Linked DNA regions of Neurospora crassa OR74A. The protein of the gene in region 3 purifies or fractionates together with the protein of the main gene of each other region. This does not show direct contact. Links are inferred from orthologs where the notes say so. Each region holds a gene or a part of one and is shown on either strand. Other genes may lie near its edges.

Region 1 (4,209 bases), on a different chromosome or scaffold from region 3:
CAAGGATATTCAGAGGGTTAGGGTCCCTGAGCGATGGCTTATCAAACAAATAACGTCATGCCAAGCAACATGCCCTGTACACGAGAATACACATTAACACCAGAACGAAGTTGAAGACCGGCATTGATGGGCACTGCTACTCGGACTAAGAAGTAATTGCACCAGCATGGAGAACAGACAAGAATCATCCAAAACCCACAGCCCTCTGATAACTCGGCAATGTTAACATAAAATAACCAGCAGCCTTCCTGCCATCCCATCTGGCAACCAAGGTAGCTTTTCTGTATCTCTTAAAATCTCGTGTATTCATCGAGTCTCGAGCCCAACCAGGACCCGCAAGGCCAAATAGCCCTAGTCCAACCAACAAGCGGCGTCTATTTAGCATGTCATGTGAAAATCCCCTATTAAACCCTCGAGGGAAAGCCCGTGACTACAGTACAAGTACACACCTCCTCCCATCCTCTTTCCATACTCCCAATGCTAGAAATCCAGACAGCACATTTTTCCGTGCTTAGAGCCATTCAACGCCAAAACGCTCCAGCTGCTTAGAAGTGGATGGCCTTTGAGTGAGTGGCCATGGCCGCCTCCTTGAAAGCCTCGGCGAGGGTAGGGTGAGCGTGGCAGGTGCGGGCAATATCCTCGCTGGAAGCGCCATACTCGAGGGCAAGGGTACCCTCAGCAATCATCTCACCGGCGTTAGGACCGATGATGTGGACACCGAGAATCCGGTCGGTCTCGGGGTCGGCGATCATCTTCACCATGCCCTCAGTGTCAAGGTTGGTCTTGGCACGGGAGTTGGCGCTGAAGGGGAAGGTACCGACGCGGTAGGGAACACCAGCCTTCTTGAGTTCCTGCTCGGACTGGCCAACCCAGGCAACCTCGGGGAAGGTGTACATGACCGAAGGAATGCAGCCGTAGTTGACATGGCCGTAACCCTTCTTGATGTACTCGACGACAGCAACAGCCTCCTCCTCAGCCTTGTGAGCAAGCATGGGGCCGAAGGTGACATCACCAACGCAGCGAATGTGGGGGATCTTGGTGCGGTACTCGGAGTCGATGATGACACGGCCGCGCTCATCCTTCTCGAGTCCAATGTTCTCAAGGCCGAGACCCTCGGTGTAGGGACGGCGGCCAATAGCGACAAGAACAACGTCACCCTCGAGCTGTGTTCGAACAATGTCAGCTTTGAAGATCACGACAACGAACAGATAGCCTGCAGGGTATCATGGGCCACTCACAGTCTCGGGCTTGCCACCCTTGGCGGAGTCGACCTCGAGCTTGACGGTCTCGCCAGTCTTGTCACCGGAAACGACCTTGGTGCCGGTCTTGAAGTTGATGCCCTGCTTCTTCAGGATCTTCTGGATGGACTTGGCAACCTCAAGGTCCATGCCGGGGCCGCCAATCTGGTCGAGAAACTCGATGACGGTGACCTGGGCGCCGAGACGGGACCAGACAGAAGCCATTTCGAGACCAATGATGCCACCACCGATGACGAGCATCTTCTCCGGGACCTTCTCAAGAGCAATGGCGCCAGTGCTGCTGATGACGCGCTTCTCGTCGATTTCGAGGCCGGGGAAGGGGGTGACCTCGGAGCCAGTGGCGATAAGGATGTTCTTGCCCTTGACGGAGGTCTCGCCGCCGTCGTTGAGCTTGACGTTGATGGTGTGCTCATCGGCGAAGGCGCCAGCACCCTTGATGTACTCGACGCCGTTCTTCTTCAGGAGGAACTCGACACCTTTGGTAAGACCGCTGACGGACTGTTCCTTGGCCTTCATAAGCTGGGCGAGGTTGAGCTTGACATCGCCGACCTCGATGCCGCGGTGTTTCGAGTCGTGGAGGATCTGATGGTAGAGATGGGAGTTGTTGAGGAGCGACTTGGAGGGAATGCAGCCGACGTTCAGGCAGGTACCGCCGAGGGTGCCGCGCTTCTCGATACAGGCGACCTATTTCCAGGCAACATGGGAGATAGCAGTCAGATATTGTCGTCATTCGTCGGTGTTGCGGTGTAGTTGATTCGCGATGCGACGCACCTTGAGACCCTCCTGGCCGGCCTTGATGGCAGCAACATAGCCAGCGACGCCACCTCCAATGATGACGAGATCCTTCTCCTCTACGGGCACATCAACAGTCAGCCGACCAGAATCCTTTGACGAGAACCAGCTCTTGATGTTGGCAAACAGACCAGACTCGGTCGCATAGGTCCTCCTCAACCTGGGAGAAACGACGACAGGGAGCCTGTATGTGGTCGTCAGGTCAGCCTCAGTACGCGCATGAGAAAACAGTGTGTCGGGCATCCGCCGGCAACCGGGACAGTGAGCTTACCCCGAGGGCTTGAAGGCGGACCGGACGGCAGCACGGCCTATTAATCTTTGGGACAGCATGGTGAAAGTATGTGCTGAATGGAAAAACCAGAAATGGAAACAGGGAAAATTCGAAGGAACGAGCGCACTGCAGAGAGATGCCCGGGGAAGCAGGGAATGCGATTCGATGGTGAGACGTCGAAAGTGTGTACTGAACTGCAAAACGCCGCGGGAGAGACAATTGTTGGGATTCGAGGCGGAAGCTATTCACGGCAAGCGAAAAATGTCCAGTCCCACTTGTTCGGGTTGCCAGCCCGTCAGAGGCTCACATCGCTCAAAGGGCACCCGCTTTCCACCGTGCCCGTCCCCAAGCTGGCCCGCTCGAGACAGCGCAGAGCGGAGTAGGTAGAGGTAGGTACGAACGGAGCGGAGTAGGAACACCACTACCTAGGTAGGTAGTAGGTACCTCTAATCTCGCGTACGCTACACTAAATAGGTAGGTAGGTACTGCCTGATCGTGTTAGTAGTGTAGAGGTAGTGTGCTACAGGAAGTAAAAGTACTATGATGCCAGTGTTAGGCGGGACGGGCAGCGCGCTCTTCGCCGTCTTACTTTACTGTCGCTGCTGCCCTGACTGCTTCGTCGAAGAAACCCGTCCCCAAATACGTACGGTACTAGGTACGCTCCATTGCGTCCTGTGATTGGTCAAGACGAACTTGGCGTGCAGCAGCTGACTCCAAAATTTTGACATCTCTGCACTCCCGCTATGTATTGTAGCCATTTTTCTGACAGCTTAGGTTGTGTTTGACATTCATCTTGCTCCTTGGCGCGATCCCCTCTTTGCTCCCCTCTTTACTCCGCCCGTCAACGCCAAATAACCCCAGCTTGCCCAGCTGCCGAATTGGAGAAGCATAACCTGTCCCTAACCCGTCTTAGAGGTTAGTTGTTTGTCGAACGACATGACACATGGCAGGCAATTCATCTCAAACCATCTGCCTCCTCTTCATGTCCACAATCAAGAGTCCCGCCCGACCCTCATGAAACCCTGTCCCTTCGTTGCAAGACGAAATGACATCATTGAGTGCTATTCACAGACCACTATATTTCCGGGCTCCCGCACACTCGAGTCGGTTGCTCCCTGGATCCCTAGTAGCAAATCGCCCTTCCTGACAACAAGTTCCCCAACTTAAAGCTACCCCCAACTTTTCCAGTCCCGCCGTCAACGCTAATATCTACAAAGTAGGTAACTACATTCGAGCGAGAATGCTTGGGTTAGTTCCATGAACTTGTCATGATATTGGTCAATGGCCTTTTGTATAGACCCCGGCACACTTGTATCCCTGATCATTATGTTGCTATTCCCGAAGATATCCGATCCATATACAGGTATCCAACAAAGCAAAATTATTCCACCAAGCCTTCGGCGGCGAGCAGCGCATGCTCCAAGGCCGCCATGGCCGTCTTGCAACCCTCCTTGACGAGCTTGGTGTTGGCCGCCCCTCCCGCGAGATCCGACTTCCGGACCACCTTCTTGATGAACCATTGCAGGCCTCTGGCAAGCTCGGGGACCCCTTCCACAGCCACAAACACCGAAGTAATCGTCTCATCCCGATCCTTGTCGCCGCCTTTTCCGGCTTCAAGAAGCACAGTAATCAGCAGGATCTCCACTAGCGCCCGCGTCTTGGTTTGTAGATAAGGCAAATTGAGGCATTTCAGAATTGCCAATCCTAGCGATCCACCTGCCACCATGGCCCCAAACAGTTTTGCAATGTTGACAAGCCGCCGCATGTCCATCGCATCTACATCCTCCTCATCCTCCGCGTCATCGCCAAAAACTGACTCTCCGAGACGCCTGAATAGCTTCCAGAGCGCGTCTTGGAACGACCACCGGATTTTGCGATCCCCGCAAA
Region 2 (4,142 bases), on a different chromosome or scaffold from region 3:
CTCTTCCATCAGGTACCTACACGTACCTACGTACCTCTCACTTTATCTCCGTACGTATCAATCTATCTGCCAGCCGCTTTGCCTGCCGGAACTGCAGCCGTGGATACTCTTTTTGACGCATGGGTCAGTAATTGGTCTGTTCATTGGTAGCCCGCCGCCGGCGTCAGCTTTTGAAGAATCCGATGATAGCCATTCAATCCCGTCTTCCATTGTAGATATGGATCCCATCTCTTTTGCGTATCAGTTGTCTTTGGACATATTGGACACCGGTGATCCATGACACGGCGTATTTCACATCCATCGGAGGGAAGCCAAACTGTAACTTGTGTTACTACCATAGGCTTGGAGTCTTGATGGTATGAATACCTCGTGGGAAGTTTAATCAATAACCAAGTCGTGTGCCTTTTCAGCTTCTACAACACGATCTCAGGGCAACTCGGATACGAAGCTCTTCAGAGGTTGGGAATATGACTGATGACGAGAGACCGTTGTTAGCTGCTCCTGATTGCTTGTACATACGAAAACTGAAATGTCATCACCAGTCCAATTTTGTCATTATATGCCATTCTGCAGCATCTCTCATGGATCGGGTCCCTTAGTTTGACATCACTGACACTGCAGAGTCCAATCCTCTTGGAGTTGACGGTTTCCATCGCAATCAAATCCTCCGATCGGCCCGCAGAACGTAATCCGTACCTTAGCGCGAACTGTTATGGATCCGTGCAGCTGCCAGTCCGATGTCCCTGTCAGCACTTCATCTCTCTCGAGGTTGTTCATCGGAGAACTGTTGAAGTCCGCATCTCACTTTGGTCCATAAGGTTACTTGATATTCAGGTCTTCATAACTCGCAAATACAGATAGCACCTCCATGCGCGCTGCTCATACATATAGATATTCAAACAAGATATCACTGCTCCAAAGCTAGGTTAGCTTGACAATTCCAGTTCGTGATTGCAACCTCTCTTATCAAGTAATCAATCATCCATCTGCCCCCATTAGGCTTAGCGTCATTTACTCCCCGTTGCGCGACCGGGGGATTCTCAAAGCTTGGCCTCCTGCTGTCTTTGGGCACCGGGCAGCTGCGAGGCCGTGCTAGCCCTGAAATAGCCTGGCCTTGGCTCGGCGGGGGCTCTGCTTACGCTGGAACTGCTGGGGGGAGCTTCCCCCAACTGTTGGGAGAAATCGCAGGGGGGCAGAGAGCAAGGAGCTGAGGGGACACAAGGCGGGCAGTGAGTGTGGTGAGTGTGGTTGGTGACGGGAAGTGAGAAAGTGTGATGCCACCGCCGCAGTGGAGAGAGAGGGAAAAAAAAAAAAAAAAAAAAAGTTCACGAGTGTCGCCGATTGAAGTCCGGCTCCGTATCCCGCCGCTGCCCGCTGTCATCTTCCTGTTGTGCTCTCCACGACGAATCCGTCATTCAGGTCGAATCTCATCTCGCGCAGTCTTCCATCTTTCCAAACCTGCAATCTTCCCGTTCTTTTTCCACTCTTTTTCCGCATCAACCTGACTCGCGCAGTCGACGACTTACACCTCCAGGCTTGGCCCTACTGCGAATCCGCGTCCATCAATCAGACATCCCGGCCTCCCTCCGCACAAGCCAGCTTCTCCAACCCGCGTCCCTCTGCCCCCCTCCCCCCCGGTCGGCCTTTCCCCTCTCCAAGGTCCTGCCGCCGCTGCCACTGCTGCTGAGTGCTGCTCCTCCAGCTTGGTTTGGAATCCCCACATAAACATTCCATACTAGCAAATTGAACACAACCTCCTCTCTCAAAAAAAACACCACCACAACCACCCAACCTTCACATCACACCCTCTCACCATGATCGTCCCCGTCCTCTCAAGGCAGGCTCTCCGCCATGCCAGCGTCGCCCGTGTCGCCCTCCCCAGCCTCACAAGATGGTACGCCTCGTACCCCCCTCACACCGTCGTCAAGATGCCCGCCCTCTCGCCCACCATGACCTCGGGCGGTATTGGCGCATGGCAGAAGAAGCCCGGTGACAAGATCGAGCCCGGTGAGGTGCTCGTCGAGATCGAGACCGACAAGGCCCAGATGGACTTTGAGTTCCAGGAGGAGGGTGTCCTCGCCAAGATCCTCAAGGACTCGGGCGAGAAGGACGTCGCCGTTGGCAACGTAAGTACCTACCTACACTACCTGTCGAGCCACGAGTCATCATACCTGCCAAACACTCCAGCCCTACCTACTCCAACTCCATGACTCCATGCACATCTCCTCCCATCCCGACCCTCTTCCCCACTCGACCCTGAATCCACTCTTCTTCCTTTATGCCTCGTGCGCGCCTCGTGCCCTGTGTCTCGCCTGTCGGGTGATATGTCATGGTGCCGTTGAGCGTCTACACGCCCCGCGTCGCCTTAGCTTGTGCGCGCCTAATGTAGACAGACGACCCATGCTGACCATGCTTCTTCCTCCTTCTCTAGCCCATTGCCATTCTCGTCGAGGAGGGCACCGACGTCAACGCCTTCAAGGACTTCACCCTCAAGGATGCCGGCGGCGAGACCTCCCCCGCTGTCCCCAAGGATGAGCCCAAGAACGAGAGCACCGCCAGCGCTCCGACCCCCGCTCCTACTCCCGCTCCCGAGCCCGAGAACACTAGCTTCACCGGCCGCTTCCAGACTGCCCTCGAGCGCGAGCCCAACGCTCTCCCCGCTGCCAAGAGACTCGCTCGCGAGAAGGGCATCGACCTGCGCAACGTCAAGGGCTCTGGTCCCGGTGGCAAGATCACTGAGGAGGATGTCAAGAAGGCTCTTGCTAGCGCTCCCGCTGCCGGTGCCGCCGCCGCTGCCTACACTGATGTCCCCATCTCTGGCATGCGCAAGACTATTGCCGCCCGCTTGAAGGAGTCTGTCACGGAGAACCCCCACTTCTTCGTTTCCACCAACCTCTCCGTCAGCAAGCTTCTCAAGCTCCGCCAGGCGCTCAACAGCTCTGCTGATGGCCGCTACAAGCTTTCGGTCAACGACTTCCTCATCAAGGCCATGGGTATTGCTTCCAAGCGCGTCCCTACCGTCAACAGCTCGTGGCGCGACGGTGTCATCCGCCAGTTCGAGACCGTCGACGTTTCCGTTGCCGTCGCCACCCCCAACGGCCTCATCACCCCCATTGTCAAGGGTGTCGAGGGCAAGGGTCTCGAGAGCATCTCGGCCGCCGTCAAGGAGCTCGCCAAGAAGGCCCGCGACGGCAAGCTCAAGCCCGAGGAGTACCAGGGTGGCAGCATCTCCATCTCCAACATGGGCATGAACCCCGCCGTCCAGAGCTTCACCGCCATCATCAACCCTCCCCAGGCCGCCATCCTTGCCGTTGGCGCCCCCCAGAAGGTTGCCGTCCCCGTTGAGAACGAGGATGGCACCACCGGTGTCTCTTGGGACGAGCAGATCATCGTCACTGCCAGCTTTGACCACAAGGTTGTCGATGGTGCTGTCGGTGCCGAGTGGATCCGCGAGTTGAAGAAGGTCATTGAGAACCCTCTCGAGCTCCTCCTTTAAACGCGAATAGCACTCTGTTTTGGATGACGTTCAGTGGAGTTATACGGATCGAGCGACTGCAAACTAGATAGCAGTCACTTGGCCCCAAGTTCACGGCAGGCCGGCGCATGAGATTTTATAGAAATGGGCAGGCATTGGAAGGATGGATGAATGGATGGGAGGAAGAGAGGTGATGGAATGACAATGTCAGTCAGTTGGTTGACAAAAAAGCGAGCTGATGCTACAAAAGCTTTTGGGAGGTTCCATTCAGTGTCATGTTTGTGTTCTCTCTCAACCACCATATGTATAATGATTCGATCCCACTTTTTATAAGCAAAAACTTGAGCATGAGGTGTGCGGGAAATACAGGAAATCTTTGTTTCTTTTTCGTTTGTTAGAGTTGAGTTCAGCCCCGGCATCGGTTAGGCAACTTGAGGACTTTTGGATACAGGATTTGGGAATGGCACCCCAATCTGTTTGTCCATTTCTAGCCAAATATGTGGTCGAAGCTGCCATGTTTTGGCAAACCTGCTGCTTGGCTGAGGATACCAATTTTAATTTTGGATATCAGTATTTGGACAGATTCTGCTTTGGCAAAGCGAGGAAAGGTCCTGACCAGGGGGCATCATAAGTGTGATGCCAAGATAATGGGCGGCGGCCGCTGGTG
Region 3 (4,300 bases):
TTCATTGCGGCTATTGTCCTTGTCCTTCTGTAGCTGATCGCCTCGTTTTTTGTTTTTGATGCTTTCACGTTCGAGCCTCTTCATCTCCGCCAGCAAGTCCGCACAGCGTTTGGTCAGATGATCAATCTTTTGGAGGTCGTTCATCCGCGAGGTCTGGCTGTGTAGCTCCCTACTAGCTTTCTTGACCTCTCGTTCTGCGCACGGCTTGCTGTCAGCGCCTTCTCTTTCATCCGAAGCCAATATCGCCCGCCTTGACAAAACTCCTCTGTCTTGATTCAACCCGTCTACATCCCAATCGAGACTGGAGGGTGGTCTGAAGACATGCAGCAAAGGTTGACTGAGGAGGTTCGGTCAACGACTGTCGAGTGTTTCTGAGCCTTCCGTCCCCCCCTTTTCGATCCCATAACATCCGCCATTGCCCTCTCAAGCGCCCAGCAGGTTGTAAGGACAAACACGCACCTATTTCGGCCTCCTGGTCCTTTTCACCAGCGGCATCTTGCTCCAGTTGTGTGATTCTAGCAGCAATGAGCTTACTGGCCTCGTTCGGCTCGGGAGCCTTTTTCGGTTTGCCCTTTTTGCCCACCATGTTTGCGGGGGGCGCAGGAGCCGGCCGGGTCTCGTGAGCGTGGTTCGGGTGGCCATTCGTGGCAGGAGGGGGGTCGACCGGATGGTTTGCCGATCCATTGCTCATGGGTGTCGCAGGTCGAGGGCCGGAAGTTGCAGTGGCTGGAGGATTGGCGCTTGACATTGTCGTGGGACTGGCCTTGATGCCGGAAACAGGCGTGTGGTCGGCAGTGGCCCCTCCGACTGGCAATGTCAACGAGATGTCAGTTGCAAAAGGCTTGCGTGTGCACGGCAGTGGTGCGTTACTGCTAGCCTTGCCGCTTAGCCGTCGTCGTCGTCAGAGTATGGTGGTGTTGAGCGCGCACAATAGGAAAACTGTATGCGCTGTGGTGTGGAAGTTGTGTAATCGAGTCGTTGTGTATTCGGGCGGCCGTGACGGCAGCAGTCGTCAAGATAATGGCTGCGGAAGACTTTGATGTATGGGAAAGGACGACCAGATCGCTATGGCGTCGGTTAATCTGATGGGGCGCGCGAATTGGATGACAGGTTCCGCTGCGTTTCAACAGGCGGCAGGTACCTGCTCTCGGTCTCCGGGGCCCCAGCACGGACTATAAATCTGAGTAGAAACAGTGCTCCCGCCGTCCCTTCATGGCTGCTACTTTCCACAATTCTTCTTGCCCACTACCTTCTGCATGGATAATAAGTACCTCTAGATACCTGTGCTCTTATTACTCACTGTTGGAGGCATGTTTCCTCTGGTTGTCATCGACGGCACTTACATACTCCTGATGTTTTGTGGGGAATTTCATGATCTAAGTCCTCGACTTCGAGGAACCAGACGGCGTTTTCATCATGATTTCATCCGTGGCCCGCCGTGCATCGACCTCGCATGAACAATATGTCTTGGATAGTGTACTAACATGCTGCTCACATACTTCATCTCACATTCGTCAGATGCCGATTGCCGCTCTTACTGTTGACATCCAAAGTTCAACATTCAGACACATGACTTGTTTGCTTTTCCGAACACTCATGATGGGGCCAAACTATATTGTTGCAAAGAGTCCATACCTATGATCAGTTAAGTAAATACAAGTAATTCTCATGAGCTTATAGTGCAACTAAGGCTTACCTCTCCCTTCCAGAGGCAACTTCCTTTATCTGTACGTGTGAAAATGTCCCTCGAGGTTACAAACAGATAGAACAGTACTTATCGCAGTGTCTTTAGTGTGGGAATGAAGCGCTGACAAATCATGCTCTGAGGTACCTCATTAACAACTTTGCTCTTTTGAGGCACGGCTACTCATTAGGTTGGATGATTCAAGACCACTACCTAGAGAGCTAGCCTCCTCGTGCGCAGGTGCAGCCTCCAGCGCCCGTCGTCGCCTCGGCCCCACTATTCCCGACTCTGCCGAAGCACGGTTCAGTTGCAGGTTTTCCACCAGGGGCAGGCTTCCTTTTCCACTTGATTCCTTTGGAGGCGGGCAGGAGGGGTGGGTGTGGGCTGAGGGGCGACAGACGGCGGGGGCGGGACAGTCAGTCACCACCTGAGGTACCCACTGCCGCTGTGGCAGGCAGGCCTAGCTCCGCGTCAGCTCCCGTTCCAACTGCCGCCAAAACCGGACGCCTCAAGTAGTACCGTCACCACCACCATCACCATCGCCATTTCCAGTCGTCTTGCATAGTGCCAAGGATTTCTGCCAGCACTCGGGTTTTCTCTACTGCTGCCAGAACGATGCTGCGCAACGCGACCAAAGGTGCAGCGCGCCGCGCCGTCACCGAGCTCTCCCAGTACCCGAAACCCGGCGAGAAACTCCACGGCTTCACCCTTCTCCGGTCAAAGCATGTCCCGGAGCTGGAGTTGACTGCTTTGCACTTGCAACACGACAAGACCGGAGCAGAGCATTTGCACATTGCCCGTGACGACAGCAACAATGTCTTCTCTATCGGCTTCAAAACGAATCCCCCGGACGACACCGGTGTCCCACATATCCTGGAGCACACCACTCTGTGTGGCAGCCAAAAGTATGCGAACTCGAACAGCGGATCATTGGTTGGGCTATCCACGCTGACATGAAATCTCCTTCAGATACCCTATCCGAGACCCCTTCTTCAAGATGCTTCCGCGAACGCTTTCGAATTTCATGAACGCCTTTACAGCATCAGATCACACCTTTTACCCGTTCGCCACCACCAATGCTCAGGACTTTAAGAACCTCATGTCTGTCTACCTTGACGCGACTCTGCATCCTCTCTTGAAGGAGACGGACTTTACACAGGAAGGATGGCGTATTGGACCCGAGAATCCCCAGGCTCTTGTTGCGGCTGAGGGCAACGCAAAGCCCGAGGACAGGAAGCTTGTCTTCAAGGGTGTCGTTTATAACGAGATGAAGGGGCAGATGTCGGATGCTGCCTACCTCTTCTGGATTCGGTTCCAAGACCACATTTTCCCAGACATCCACAACTCTGGTGGTGATCCCCAGAAAATCACAGACTTGACATACCAACAGCTCAAGAAGTTCCATGCTGATCACTACCACCCGAGCAACGCCAAAGTCTTTACTTATGGCGATATGCCACTGGCAGATCACTTGAAGGAAATCGGTGCCCAGCTCGACGTATTTGAGAAGATCCGGGCTGATGTGGCACACCATAGCCCTATCGACCTCAGCAGTGGCCCCAGGGAAGTCAAGCTCTATGGACCTATTGACCCCCTTGTGGACGCCAATAAGCAGTTCAAGACTTCCGTTTCGTGGGTTCTGGGTGAAACCAACAATGTCGTCGAGTCCTTTTCGCTGGCGCTGATTTCTGCTCTGCTCATGGATGGTTATGGCTCGCCTCTCTACAAGGGATTGATTGAATCCGGGCTAGGAACGGACTGGAGCCCCAACACCGGATATGACAGTTCGGGCAAGCTTGGTATCTTCTCCATTGGCCTCAGCGGTGTTCAAGAAGAAGATGTGCCCAAGGTCAAGGCCAAGGTACAGGAGATTCTTCGCAGCATGCGGGACAAGGGTTTTGAGAGATCAAAGATTGATGGCTATCTCCACCAGCTTGAGCTCGGCCTTAAGCACAAGACTGCCAACTTTGGCATGTCTTTGCTCCACCGTTTGAAGCCAAAGTGGTTTGTTGGAGTCGATCCATTTGACTCTCTTGCCTGGAACGACACGATTGCTGCTTTTGAGACCGAGCTTGCCAAAGGTGGTTATCTTGAGGGCTTGATTGATAAGTATCTGATCAACGACAATACTCTCTCCTTCACGATGGCGCCTTCGCCAACCTTTAGCCAGGAGCTGGCCCAAGAGGAGGAAACTCGCTTAAGCACCAAGATTTCGGAAGTTGTCAAAGCTGCTGGTAGCGAAGAGGAAGCTCGTGCTGCTCTCGAAGCTCGGGAACTCAAATTGTTGGCCGAGCAAAGCAAGACCAACACCGAAGATCTTGGCTGCCTTCCTAGCGTGCATGTCAAGGACATTCCCCGCCAGAAGGACTCGGTTATCTTGAGACACGATAACACAGCAAGAGTCAAGACACAGTGGCACGAGGCTCCCACGAACGGGCTGACCTACTTCCGTGCTATCAATCAGCTGGAGAACCTGCCCGATGAGCTCCGAAGCCTGATCCCCCTCTTCACTGACTCCATCATGCGTTTGGGTACGAAGGACATGACAATGGAGCAGCTTGAGGATTTGATCAAGCTCAAAACTGGAGGTGTCTCGGTCGGCTACCATTCGGCTTC
Region 4 (4,136 bases), on a different chromosome or scaffold from region 3:
GACAGACGGACAGACGGACAGACAGACGGGACAGAGGAGAGAGTCCATCAAGAAGCGGATGAGCAACTCGGCATTGGATGTGGTCACGGTACAAATACACTTCGTTCAGGAACTCTACACTACTATATTGCGAGACACTGTACTACACTACGGCAACCGGGACTATGAAAGACATACACATGCCATCGGTCCACAATGCCTTATATCTTATACCTGTTTTGCATTTGTTCACTCCCTCAACGTATGCATATCGTATGTTTTATCCCAAGATAGGATACTAAACCCACTTGTCTATAAATACCCGGGGGAAGAGGACGGGAGACTTGTAGCGATAGGTTAATGGCAGATATCCTCGATGGTTTGTCTTATGCTGGGCTTTATGCTTTTGTGGTTATGTTGTCTGTCATCAGGACGGTTGTGATACTTTTCTTGTTGATAATGTTCATAATGAAGATATCGCCGAATTGGATTAAAAGTGCCCTTGCCCTATATACGCAGAATCCTTCAAGGCCATGTTCGGTCAGATGTTGATTACGGTTACCTGCATGCCACGCCTGTCGTCTAAACTGTAGTGGTAAGAAAACTGATAAGCAATTATTCCCGATCGAGGTTAGGTAGGGTTCGTGAGGCAAGTGGAAAGCGGCGGCTGTTGGGTGGGGCATTCCGGAATGTCAAACTCCATTTTTGATGGGGTTCACAATGGAGTCGATGGGATGGCGGCATAGTACTGAGTGCCGCCCGCTGTGATAACTGGTCATAGTGGTGACGGTGGTGGTGGTGTCTTTGGAAGCGAACAAGGAGAAGGACGAAAACGAACAAGAGCGAGTCTTTCATTCAGTTCACCTCGTCCGTGACGAAATCATCGAGACCCTTGGCTGTACAACTCGTGGGCGGCAAACGAGGGTCTTATATAATTTGTCATGGAGGTAAGCTCGAATGGAGATCTCCAACAAACTTTCCTTCCCCCACCTGATCCATGCAATGCCAAACTCAGTTAGCGCGTGCTACCCAAGCTTCTGCCTCTGCTCAACACTCGTTCGCCTCGCCCCTCTGACTGTGGACTTTTTTTTTTTGGACGTTCCTTGCCCCTTCCCCTCCATTCTCCTCCAAAAGCTCATGGACCGCGACGGGGAGATCCATAATAATTTTTTCTGACAGCCCTGACAGCGTCAAAACGAGCTCCGGAGAACGGCCGGCATACCGGTACACGTACCGTTTGTGGGAGTTTCCTATCGCGTTAGTACCTGCCCGCCTTGACAAGCTTTTCTAGTAGCAGTGGACAGAGAGCTCTTGTAACTCTGTAAGGTAGGTAAGTAAGCAGTGACAGTACACCTAGCTGGGGGATCTCCATGCCAGAAAAAAAAATCCCCCGGGCCACAGCGTAACACACATATCCGACGATACCCTATCCGTGCTGGTGCCCTGTCTGTGAGCGCCGCCCGGCGTATCTCCAATTGAAGAGTTCGTTCCCTGACGTGCTGCGCCTGCTAGGTGCTGCACACCTGCCCTGGCTGCCCGCACCCAGTCCTGCCGTACCGGGCGCCCTGGCTCGCCTACCTACCCCATCGGAGCCCATCAATTCGCGACCCTTCCACACTCCCGTCCCAAGGATTTTCAGTTTGCCAGTTTGCTTTTGCTCGTCGACTCGTCCTTCATTCTCGTCCTCTCTCCGCTTCCACTCCTGTCGTCATCCACCCCCCCAAACTCTTTCAATCTCTCAGCTGCCATCGTATTTCCCAGCGAGACGAGAGAGACAGATAATCCAGAATGTTTTCTCGCGCAGCCCGGTTATCGACGAGGGTAGCGGCGCCCGTCCGCGCCCGCGTTGCTGCTCCCCGTGTCGTTATTCCCTCGATCGCCGCTAGGAGGTCCGTCACCACCAATGCTGCTTCGGCCCAGCTCGAGAAGCCCCTCCCAGAGGTACGTTTGTTTACTGTTGATGTCGGGATGTCGTTCGAAGTGGGTTTCGATGGTGGTATTGTGTGTGTTGGAGAAACAAAAGAAGACTGGAGGGAGGGAGAGACTCCCTAGTCATGTCCCCTCCCCGAGTCCCCCAAGCAACGCTCGTCGCGAGTCAAGCAAGTCATGTCCCATGCGAGTCTGTCTACCTTACCGCTTGCTGCCGGACCCGCCGGACCCGCCTTGATTCTCTTGACGTCAAGTCAATAGAAAACACCAGATGAACACCGTTTGTTTTGGTGGTTTCGAAACATATCATGTCGTCGCCGTCGTTGTCGTCGTTGGGGGCTGGGTTGTGCAGATTTTTGCGCGCAATCCAAAGACTGTTACTTGTCGCTACTACAACTACTCCTGGGAACGTCGATAAGCTTACCATGCAATTTTGCTTCAATCTAGTCGGAGACCGAGCCCTTCCAGGTCACCCTCAGCGATGAGAGCTTCGAGACCTACGAGCTCGACCCCCCTCCCTACACCCTCAATGTCACCAAGAAGGAGCTGAAGCAGATGTACTACGACATGGTCGTCGTCAGGTATGCAAAGACTACAATCCCCCTTGTCCTCACCGGGGGGCTCTAAGCTTCCCCCCTCCTATCTCTGCCGATCTCGGCCTGGAGGATCAACATGGCTTCACCACATAGCATATAGCTAACACATTGCTCTCTCTGCATATAGACAAATGGAGATGGCCGCCGACAGACTGTACAAGGAGAAGAAGATTCGTGGTTTCTGCCATTTGTCCGTTGGTCAGGAGGCTGTCGCCGTCGGTATCGAGCATGCGATCGAGAGAGCTGACGACGTCATCACCTCGTACCGTTGCCACGGCTTCGCCTACATGCGCGGCGGTACCGTTCGCTCCATCATTGGCGAGCTTCTCGGTCGCCGTGGCGGTATTGCCTACGGCAAGGGTGGTTCCATGCACATGTTCACCAAGGGCTTCTACGGCGGTAACGGTATCGTCGGTGCGCAGGTCGCCGTCGGTGCTGGTCTTGCTTTCGCCCACAAGTACACTGGCCGCAAGAACGCTTCCATCATCCTCTACGGTAAGCCTTTTCTTGGTGGGAACAACGTTGGGGGTTCGGAAGGCTAATACATTGTTATAGGTGATGGTGCCAGCAACCAGGGTCAGGTCTTTGAGTCTTTCAACATGGCCAAGCTCTGGAACCTCCCTGCCCTTTTCGGCTGCGAGAGTAAGTAGCCCAGGTTTCATGGTCTTAGATACTCTTACTGACATGTATGATGGTGCAGACAACAAGTATGGTATGGGTACCTCTGCCGCCCGCTCGTCGGCCTTGACCGACTACTACAAGCGTGGCCAGTACATCCCCGGTCTCAAGGTCAACGGCATGGACGTCCTTGCCGTCAAGGCTGCCGTCGCGTACGGTAAGCAGTGGACCAACAACGACAACGGCCCTCTCGTGCTCGAGTACGTCACCTACCGCTATGGTGGTCACTCCATGTCCGACCCCGGCACCACCTACCGTACCCGTGAGGAGATCCAGCGCATGCGCTCCACCAACGACCCTATTGCCGGCCTCAAGCAGCACATTCTCGAGTGGGGTGTTGCCTCGGAGGAGGAGCTCAAGAACCTCGACAAGGAGGCTCGCGCCTACGTCAACGAGGAGGTTGCCGCCGCCGAGGCCATGCCTCCTCCGGAGGCCAACCAGCAGATTCTGTTTGAGGACATCTACGTCAAGGGTACCGAGCCCGACTTCATCCGTGGCCGTACCCCTGATGAGCTTTTCTACTTCAAGCACTAAAAAAGTTAAAATTGAGTAGAGAGGCAGAAGTAATGACAAACTAGATGGGTTTTTTCAAGTTACAACCAAGAAACTTGTCCTTTCCTCTGATGCATATCACAAAACCAAAAATGGTGCTGGCGTCTTTTATCTACGTCGGCCATCATGGACGGTCGTCACTTCTTCTTTCCATTTTCCTTGTATAATAAAACATTTCTGCGTAGCGCAAAACAGTCACAAACACAACCACACACACAAACACATATATATATATATATATCTAGACAGGTTTTAGGGGAAAGGGATGGGGAAAGGGAAGGCGGGTTATGAAATTGATAAGCTTTCAAGATAGCTGTCTTGTTATGATGCAACAGCTGAATGACTGGGCTTGTGAGATGAGGTCCGATATCGTATCGCAGCCTGCCCCTCCCTGCCCAGCCT

Evidence for each region.
Region 1: the proteins of NCU01272 (region 3) and NCU02407 purify together in Saccharomyces cerevisiae (affinity purification with mass spectrometry, with the first as the bait; 3 studies listed by BioGRID). This does not show direct contact. The link is inferred for Neurospora crassa OR74A from reciprocal best matches to the Saccharomyces cerevisiae genes CYM1 and LPD1.
Region 2: the proteins of NCU01272 (region 3) and ace-4 purify together in Saccharomyces cerevisiae (affinity purification with mass spectrometry, with the first as the bait; 3 studies listed by BioGRID). This does not show direct contact. The link is inferred for Neurospora crassa OR74A from reciprocal best matches to the Saccharomyces cerevisiae genes CYM1 and LAT1.
Region 4: the proteins of NCU01272 (region 3) and ace-2 purify together in Saccharomyces cerevisiae (affinity purification with mass spectrometry; 3 studies listed by BioGRID). This does not show direct contact. The link is inferred for Neurospora crassa OR74A from reciprocal best matches to the Saccharomyces cerevisiae genes CYM1 and PDA1.

What each region holds. Positions count from the first base shown.
Region 1 is NC_026507.1:2,606,932-2,611,140, forward strand, and holds NCU02407 (dihydrolipoyl dehydrogenase), read right to left. Parts: upstream 2,850-4,209; 5' UTR 2,382-2,849; coding exon 2,323-2,381; intron 2,236-2,322; coding exon 2,183-2,235; intron 2,111-2,182; coding exon 2,031-2,110; intron 1,944-2,030; coding exon 1,239-1,943; intron 1,164-1,238; coding exon 546-1,163; 3' UTR 106-545; downstream 1-105. Other genes in the region: NCU02406 (nuclear protein), read right to left, coding at 3,704-4,209.
Region 2 is NC_026504.1:431,424-435,565, forward strand, and holds ace-4 (pyruvate dehydrogenase complex), read left to right. Parts: upstream 1-1,302; 5' UTR 1,303-1,814; coding exon 1,815-2,126; intron 2,127-2,431; coding exon 2,432-3,496; 3' UTR 3,497-4,094; downstream 4,095-4,142. UniProt on the Saccharomyces cerevisiae protein: The pyruvate dehydrogenase complex catalyzes the overall conversion of pyruvate to acetyl-CoA and CO(2).
Region 3 is NC_026505.1:3,477,411-3,481,710, reverse strand, and holds the start of NCU01272 (mitochondrial presequence protease), read left to right. Parts: upstream 1-1,483; 5' UTR 1,484-1,659; intron 1,660-1,874; 5' UTR 1,875-2,299; coding exon 2,300-2,589; intron 2,590-2,653; coding exon 2,654-4,300. Other genes in the region: NCU01273 (beta-taxilin), read right to left, coding at 1-194, 460-748. UniProt on the Saccharomyces cerevisiae protein: Degrades mitochondrial transit peptides after their cleavage in the intermembrane space or in the matrix, and presequence peptides; clearance of these peptides is required to keep the presequence processing machinery running.
Region 4 is NC_026503.1:1,563,233-1,567,368, reverse strand, and holds the start of ace-2 (pyruvate dehydrogenase E1 component alpha subunit), read left to right. Parts: upstream 1-1,318; 5' UTR 1,319-1,767; coding exon 1,768-1,920; intron 1,921-2,355; coding exon 2,356-2,489; intron 2,490-2,631; coding exon 2,632-2,999; intron 3,000-3,059; coding exon 3,060-3,146; intron 3,147-3,204; coding exon 3,205-3,716; 3' UTR 3,717-4,136. Other genes in the region: NCU16634 (hypothetical protein), read left to right, coding at 1-340. UniProt on the Saccharomyces cerevisiae protein: The pyruvate dehydrogenase complex catalyzes the overall conversion of pyruvate to acetyl-CoA and CO(2).